2 linked regions of the Coturnix japonica genome follow. The protein of the gene in region 1 interacts with the protein of each later gene in a biochemical or structural test. Links are inferred from orthologs where the notes say so. Each region holds a gene or a part of one and is shown in the gene's direction. Other genes may lie near its edges.

Region 1 (4,271 bases):
AAATTTTGAGTTAAATCCATGAGTGGGCTGCAGCTTGTTCAAACCCTGAACTCAACACCCTTTGTGTTCCTTTGGCTTTTCCACAGCGGTTCCTGGGATCTCCCCTTCCTGAGGAAAGGGCTAGGTGTAATAAAAGCTGTCAAGGCAAGGGTTGGAGGCTCTCGTCCACTATTGAGCCAGAACAGGAGAGCTGCAGCCTGCCCTGAACAGCTGGAAAGAGGAGAGAAAAGAGGAAGAGCAGGGTGCAGAAGCAAAACACCCCGATGCCACCGTGGCCAGGCTGCTTCCCCAGCAAGCAGGTATGCTGGTGGGCAGGGGTGGATGTGTGCTACCTGTGTGCTGGGACGAGGCGAAGCACAAAGACACCCTTTGTGCTCTTTGGCTTTTCCGCCTCCATATGGTCACGGATGCAGCCTGATTCCTGCGGGGATGTTGGAGGCAGAAGCAGGATGGCGTGGGGTGGGGGGAGTTCAGCCCTGGCCACCAGGAGCTGTGCGATGCTCGTGTTGGTGGGAGCAGAGGGATGCTTTGTATGAGCGGGACTGCTCCTGCAGCTCTGCAGGTCTTGTGGTAGTGTGGGAGAGCGTGTAAAAAAACTTCCTCCAAATATTCTTTTAAAATTGAGGTTTAAAAATTGACACAGGAGTCGATGTTGTGTTCATATGCCCACGTTTTAAACCAAGAATCCCTCTTAAAAACATACAGCTAAACCTTAGTTGAGAGCATCAGGCCGGATAAAGCTGAAAGCAGAAAGCACGCTGAGGGAGTACCTGCTAGCAAGCGAAAGCACGGCCCGGCAAGTTAGAAAGCGCGGGGGAGCGCTGAGCACAGCAGGCAGAGCAGCGGGATCGCTCAGGGGGACACGTTGGTGACCGCACAAGAGGCTGCCCCGCGCTCCGGCCGGGCCCCGCGTCGTGCGGGAGCCGCTGCAAGCTCCTCCTCCGCCGGGCCGGGCAGCAGCGAGCGGCCGGACAGCTCCGAGGGCACAGGCTGCGAGGCGGCGCGGCCCCACGCGTGCGGTAGGTGCGGGGCGGGACGGCCGCCTGCGGGACTGTGCGCGGCTGTGCGGGGCCGGCGGCGCGGTGCGGGCTGCCCTGGGGCGGGCTCGCTGCGGGGAAGCAACAGGTCGGGCTCGCTGCGGACGGACCCTCGCGAGGTCACGCACCGCGGGGAAGCGCGGCGGGGAGGGGAGGGCGCGGCGCGGGGTGCGGAGCCGCCGCCCCGCTCCGCTCCGCTCCGCTCCTATCCGCGGGCATGCGCGCCTGCCTCGCACATGCTCACTGCGCCCGCGGCGGGCGCGCACACTCCGCAGCGCTGCGGCTCCGGTGAGTACGGGCGGGGGAACGACGGTCCGCTGCCCGCCCCGCACCCGCGGATGGGCTGGAGGCGGCGGGTTCCGTGAGCGGCTGCCCGCGTCCATCCCGCGTCCACGGACGGCGCGGAGCGGAGCGGGACGGGACCCGGAGCGGACGGCAGCGCCTGTCCCGGCCCCGCCGCTTCCCGCGGACGCGCTGCGGGGCGAAACGCGACAGCACGTCGGGTCGTACGGGCTGCGGCGGGGTTAATCGGTGCGGGTATTTGATGCGCTGCGGACCGTCCGGCTTTACCTTAAGCCAGCTTCGGTTAGTTATTCTATTGCAAACTGAAATGTGCGTTTAAATAAAGTTAGTTATGCTCTTTTTTTTTTTGCAATTGCTCCTGTGAGGAAAATTTCTCGAGTGATTGATGCGCTTGAAATACACTTTTTGGAGCGTTACGTTATGCCCGAGCGCAGCGAACAGCCGCTAACGGAAATTAGCGATGGAACACAGCTCCTGTGCTCGGACCTTTCGAATGGTGCTGTGTTCTGCAGGGTGAAAGTTTAGCTATTAAATGCGCACGGTTAACCAATAAACATTTAATCACATTTATTAACGGGAATTTTCTTCAGCACGGTATCAGATTCACACATCCCTTGACTTCGTTCAGGGCAATAGGAGTATCGCATTGTTTAGTCCTTCTCGTGCACTTTGTGATTTGCTGAGATCCTCCTTCTGTGCTGCTCTCTCCAGGAGGTTTTCCCCGGAACCTTTGGGGAAGCACGACGAATTGCTTTCTGCCCGCTGTGTGTGCTGGGGGATCTGGTGCCTAAAAGCTGGGCTCTATTCAAACTACAGCTCCTATGTGTAAGCTGATGTTTTGTAGCTCCTTCCACGCATCCCACGTTGCACTGTGGTTTGTGTTACATGTTGCTAAGTACGAGATAATTTTTCTCCTCGCCCCTTTTGCTTTGAATAAACTGTTTCTTCTCTAATACAAACCTGGATTATTAATTCTGCCTTGAAACTTAAGGCTCAAATATTATGGGCTTAAATATTACATACGTAAATAGGAAAGGCTTACCGTACAAATACCCTGAAAATACTTAGTGTTTGCAGCTTTGGAAACATTCCAAAACCTTTTGAAATATATGTTGAAAATTCACTTGCAATGATGCTACAGCAAATAACTTGAATTAATTATTCTGATTTGCATCTTAAGAAAAAGATAATAATAAATTTACTGTGTGATGCGAAATTAAGTTTTTGAGTCACATCATCCAGCCAGTTCTCATGCCTCTTTCTCTTCTATGTTCCCAACCAGCAGGTCAAAACATTTGGCCTAATAACAAGTGTGTACTCCTTTACTCCTTTGGTCTGAAGCCATCGTTCTTTCTATTTTGCTTTGCTTTGTTCAGCCCGCTCCCCTCAGCTCATTTTCTCTTACAGCACTACGTACAGACTCGATTCCCACGCCTCGCTAATGCTATCACCAGCATTTGGCTGAAAGGTTTGAAATGGGCTCCTGTTTCAAATATCTCGCAACCTTGGCAGTATTAAATTTCATTAGAAAAGCTTCATTAGGGAGAAATAAATATATTGTTGGTAATTCCCCCTTCATCATTAAGTCCCGCATTCGGTGTTCTGCATACAGACGCACCTTGACTGTACAAAGGGATTTGACTCACGTATTCATGAAGACCATGGTCTCAGAATAGCATTTTGAGAATCTCGTCTGTTCCTCTGCTGTTGTCCTTCCATAGCTGGCCAATGTGATGGATTTTTTCTGCAAAAGAAAATAGTTTCACTGTGAATCCTGCAAAAGTTAGTGGTATGTTAAAGCTCAAACCAGTGAGGTGCTCTGCTGAAGTCACCGTAGCTGCATTTGTGTGTCGGTGTGTGTAGGTGCAGGCTGCTGAGAAAGAAAACAATTAAAGAAGTCAGTAATTTTCTGCTGTCTTCCCGCCTGTTATTTATGATGTGTAGCAGTAAAGCAGCTATTCTGAATTCAGCTATAATTCTCGTCAGTAAGATTTGTTTCTTCTGTGCCAAATTTTGCAGTAACCAGATGGCTTTAAGGTGTCTTCAGCTGGAAAGCAAGCAAGAACAGTGCTGAAGACTAATTATTCCTTGCAGTAAATTTCTTCTGTAATAAATTCACAGGTTGTTAGACTTAATCTGTGGAAATGATTGTTAAGATTACTTGTGCAGTGAAAAATGCTTTTAAAATTCTGTTCCTTAAAAAAAAAAAAAAAGGTCTTAGAATGCCAGGAAAATGTTTCTGAGTTCACTTTGCCTTGTAGTAACTTTTATTAGGGATGAACCCTTCGGTTGCAAATTCAAATGCTTTCATAAACCATGGAACTCTGCAGTTTTAACATGATGAATTTTAATATATCCCAGAAGTTGAGGGCTCAATTTGTAGATAAACTGGGAAAACTTGTACGGCCCTTTCTGATGGATAGTTACTGTATGCATGTGTATTATGAACAGCGACAGTGAAACTGCTGTACTAAGAATCAAGTTCTTTTCATTACGCTTCACATTGTACTACACAGGACAGAAAATAGTTACACCAAAGAGGAAAAGGTGGAACTGATCAAAACTTTCCCTCATTTTTCTAATGAAAAGCCAGAAAGACCATCTTGACTGGGGCTGTTTTTAAGAGTTCTCATCAAAAAACGATTGTTTACGGCAGCCCAATTCTTAAAACAGTTCTTCATCCTTATTTGCAGATCTTAACTCAAGTAAGGATGTTTAACAAACACCCTGCTTTAATCAGGTGAGGATAAGCCCCTCAATTAGGACGCAAATAGTTGCGTACCTTGGTTGTGTCATTCAGGGCCTGGAGGTGTTGCCATTTGCCAGTAGATTTTGTGCTGCCAAAGTGTTAAATCAGGAGAGATGAGGAAATAGGAATAAGGATGTAGGACTATGCAGTCATCTTGCAAAATATTTTTGATCACAGTGTAC
Region 2 (4,309 bases), on another chromosome or scaffold:
AGAAAATTAGCAGACACGCGGTCATGGGACACGGCGGTGCCCGAGCGGTGCAGAGCGGACAGACGGGCGGCAGCGCTTTATTTAACAGCCCCGAGAAGAGAAATACGTGGGAAAAACAACCACCGGTGCATGGGGGGACGGCGGCGGGGCCTGCAGCCGGGGTGCGACGAGAGGGACTCGGCCGGGTCCACCCGGAGGGTTCGGGGCCGGGTATCGGGTACCGGGATCGGGCTGCGGGAGCATCGCCGGCCACAGCTCGGAGCCCCGGCCCGGCCCGTCCTTGAGGAGCACGGAATAAATCACCCCGTTCTTAGAGGAGACAAACAGGTTTTCAAGAGCCCTTCGATTGTTCTCAGAACCCACGGAGTGAACCCAAACGCCGGTTGGAGGGTGCTCAAAGCGCAGCGCTCCGCTTATCTCAGCGCGTATAAACGCTGCCATAAAGATACCCTCATCCCCGCCCTTATCTCAGCGCATTGTCCCCATCTCCCAGCCCGCCCCAGCTCCCGACGGCAGCTTATCTCTGCTTGGGGAACCTAATTGCTTTCTAATTTTTGCAATAATTGCTTTGGAGCGAGGTGTGCAGATGAGGATTTGGGAGAATGAAAGCGCCGCCGCTGTTTTTTTCTCTTTCCTCTTCCCCGGGGGCAGCTCCCAGGGCCGCTCCCTCCCGACCTGAGCGGTCCCGGCCCGGACCCCCCCGGGCTGAGGGGGAGGCGGAGAGGTGCCGGGGGGGGGGGATATGAGCCTCCGCTCTGCTATTCTGCTATTCAGAGCGCGGCATCCGCCGTGAGGACGGGCGGTATTTATTCATTCACGCCTGGAGTGAGGGTGATGGAAGACGGGACGGGGAAGGGAGTGTCAGAGAACGGAGGAGAAATAAAAGAAATGAAAACGTATGAAAGGAAATAAATGAAAGAATAAGAATTAAAAATAAAGAAAAAAATAATAAAGAAAAAAACAAGGAAAAAAGTAAAGAAAAAAAAAGAAAAAATAAATAAAGAAAAAATGCAAAGCGAACAAACGAAGCGGACTGGAAGCAGGAGGGCCGCGCATTTGCCCGCGGGGTGCGGGGCGCGCCGTGCCCGGAGCTCCCCCCGCAGCCACAGCCGCACCCGCGCAGCCGCGCCGTGGCCGGGGCCGGGGCCGCTCCTCCAGGCTCCGCCCGCCCGTGCCGAGGCTCTGCCCGCCGGGCCGGGCTGGGCTGGGCTGGGCCGGGCCGGGTCGGGGCCCTCCGCGACGGGGGCCGAGCCGCGGGCGCCCAATCAGCGCGGCGCGGGGGCTCGGGCGCTTTAAGCGCGGCGGCGGCGGCGGAGCGGGGGCAAAGTTCCCCCCGTCGCTCGGCCGAGCATCCATCCCCCCCGCTCCGCCGCCGCCTCCGCGCCTCCCCGCTCTGGGGACGGGACCGGGCCCGGGGCTCTCCCCGCCCCTCCGCCGCCTCTCGGTGCCGCACGCAGCCCCGAGCCGCCCCTCGGCTCCCGGCCCCGGCCATGTCGATGCTGCCGTCGTTCGGCTTCACGCAGGAGCAGGTCGCCTGCGTGTGCGAGGTGCTGCAGCAGGGGGGGAACCTGGAGCGCCTGGGCCGCTTCCTCTGGTCGCTGCCGGCCTGCGACCACCTGCACAAGAACGAGAGCGTCCTCAAGGCCAAAGCGGTGGTGGCTTTTCACCGGGGCAACTTCCGAGAGCTCTACAAGATCCTGGAGAGCCACCAGTTCTCGCCGCACAACCACCCCAAGCTGCAGCAGCTCTGGCTCAAGGCGCACTACGTGGAAGCCGAGAAGCTGCGCGGGCGGCCGCTGGGAGCCGTGGGCAAATACCGGGTGCGCCGAAAGTTCCCCCTGCCCCGAACCATCTGGGACGGCGAGGAGACCAGCTACTGCTTCAAGGAGAAGAGCCGCAGCGTTCTCCGCGAGTGGTACGCGCACAATCCCTACCCCTCGCCCCGCGAGAAGCGGGAGCTGGCCGAGGCCACCGGGCTCACCACCACGCAGGTCAGCAACTGGTTCAAGAACCGGCGGCAGCGGGACCGGGCGGCGGAGGCCAAGGAGAGGTACGTGCCTTCCCCTCCCGCTTTGCTCCCTTTTCCTCCCGGCCCCGCTCGGACAGCGGCTCCGCTCCGCTCCGCTCCCCCCGACGCCCCGTTCTCGCCTCGCTCTCTCCGCCGGACTCTCGGCACCGAAGCTCCGGGCCGCCGGTCCCGACCCGCTCCCACCTGCCTGGGGGGCACCGACCCCCCTCCGCCCCCTCCTCTCCTGCTGCTCTCCCGAGCCGCCCCCGCCTTTGTTCGGTGCCTTCCGGGCCTCGAGAGTCGCGGCCCAGCTACCGGCCCCGGGGGCAGCTCCGGCTGTTGTGCGCGATGCGGGCTCGGGGCGGCTGTTTCTTGCGGCCCGGTTCTCATCGCCTCCCGCTTCCGCGTCCTCCCGCGGCCCCGCGGGGCGAGAATCAACCCCGGCCCCACCGAACGCCGTTCCCGGCCCCGCGGGGCCGCGCTGCGATTTGCGATGAGAAAGAATGACAAAAAGAAACGGCGGAATCCCCGCGTCTTTCCTCACCTCGGCCCCCGGCAGCTCCGGGGCTGGCGATGCGCAGCAGCTGTCTAAATAGGGGCCGAGCCCGGCAGCTGCGGGACGATCCGTTAGGAACAGACCGGGCGCTTTCTTCCCTTCTTTTCCCCCTCTCCCCTTCCTTCCTTCCCCCATCCCGGAGGCCCCCGCCCTGACCGCCCGCTGTGCTTCTGCCTTCGCAGGGAGAACACGGAGAACAACAACGCGGCCACCAACAAACCCAACCAACTCTCCCCACTGGACGGGAGCAAACCCCTCATGTCCAGCTCCGAGGAAGAATTTTCACCCCCGCAGAGCCCGGATCAGAACTCGGTCCTCCTGTTGCAGGGGAACCTCGCTCACGGCAGGAGCTCCGCGTACCCGCTGGGTTCCCTGCCCGCCCCCCCGGGCACGCACAGCCTCCCTGGCCATCAGCTCCAGGACTCGCTGCTGGGGCCGCTCACCTCCAGCCTGGTGGACCTGGGCTCCTAAAGGGCTCCGCTCGCGGACACGGACTCTCGGTTGTACATAGCGGACGGTGATCCTCAACGTCACTTCGGCTCTTCTCCACGGTCTCAGCTCCAGGTCCGGTCCCCCCCCTCCCCTCGCTCCCTTCCCTACTGTCGTTATTTTTATTATTGTTATTATTATTATTATTATTTTTCCACGTAGCCAAATGCAGAGAGCGGCACAAAGCCCTCAGCCTTGAGTTCGAGTGAGTGAGAACTGCAACAACAGAACTAAGAAATAAAAGGGGAGATGGCGGGGGGGGGTGGTGGAAAATCCAACCCTAAACCCCGGATCCCATTGCGCCCCATAAATCCCAACTGTTGCGGCCCAGAGGCAGAGGAAGCGCAGGGCCCTTTGTGGCAGCGGGAGGAGGGAGGGGAACTTTTCGTTTACATTTCTTTTTCTTTTACCTTTTTTTTTTTTTTTTTTTTTTTTTTGGTATTTAGCTTCACCGGAAGGATTTCGATGTAGTTTAAAAATTAAAAAAAAAAGACAAAATAGATACAATTAGGAAGCGGCAGTATGAGGGTTTTACCAAGTGCCTATGTCTTAACGCGGCGGTGCTGCTCCCCGGTCGGGACACGCAGCGATTCGGCTCCACATTAGGACAGTAACAACAGCGATAATAAGTGCGGACGGCCCTTCCCTTCTGCAGGAGCGTTTCTCTCTGTCTGCCTCCCCCCCCCTGCTCCCCCCAGCTCTGCCTCGCAGTGAGCCCGCAGCTGTCTGTCTCGAGTCTGTGTTACCGACCTCGCGTGTGCTTTCAGGTTTCTTTTCTATTGTACCCAAACAGCCGAAATTAAACACTGCTGATGGCAGAATCCCGACGCTGCGCTCTTCTTTCTGGGGCTCAGCCCCCCCATCCTCCCACGGCGTGGGAGCCGCTCTCTTTCCGACGCTGCCCCTTCGCTGTGTCACCACCGAGGGATGGAGCCGAGGTCGGGTTGCGGGGGCTGCACATCGGGACCGCCCCGTCGGCCGCCCCCGGCTGCACAGCGCGGATGGTGCCGCTTTCCACACCCCCCCGCGTCCGCGTTTCGCATCACCGAGCGCTTAAGGCTCCACCGCGTTTGTTTTCTGGGGGTCTCGGGCCGTGGAGAAATGTCACCCTCTGCAGGAGGGTCTCTCCCGCTCTCCCTCCTCCCGAGGGGGCCCCGCCATCCTCCTCGGCTGCCCCCGGCTCCCTCCGCCCGGTTCCGGCCGCGGGGTCACAGCGCCGGGGCGCGTTTCATCCTCTCCGTGTGTGACGGCGGCCG

What was found.
Region 2: the proteins of EYA2 (region 1) and SIX1 form a complex in vitro, tested with the Homo sapiens proteins (2 studies listed by IntAct, with this or other methods). The link is inferred for Coturnix japonica from reciprocal best matches to the Homo sapiens genes EYA2 and SIX1.

The regions. Positions count from the first base shown.
Region 1 is NC_029535.1:4,986,651-4,990,921, forward strand, and holds the start of EYA2 (eyes absent homolog 2), read left to right. Parts: upstream 1-1,190; 5' UTR 1,191-1,254; coding exon 1,255-1,325; intron 1,326-1,892; exon of another isoform or gene 1,893-3,084; intron 3,085-4,271. UniProt on the Homo sapiens protein: Functions both as protein phosphatase and as transcriptional coactivator for SIX1, and probably also for SIX2, SIX4 and SIX5.
Region 2 is NC_029520.1:49,457,629-49,461,937, forward strand, and holds SIX1 (homeobox protein SIX1), read left to right. Parts: upstream 1-1,314; 5' UTR 1,315-1,490; coding exon 1,491-2,050; intron 2,051-2,746; coding exon 2,747-3,035; 3' UTR 3,036-3,877; downstream 3,878-4,309. UniProt on the Homo sapiens protein: Transcription factor that is involved in the regulation of cell proliferation, apoptosis and embryonic development. Plays an important role in the development of several organs, including kidney, muscle and inner ear.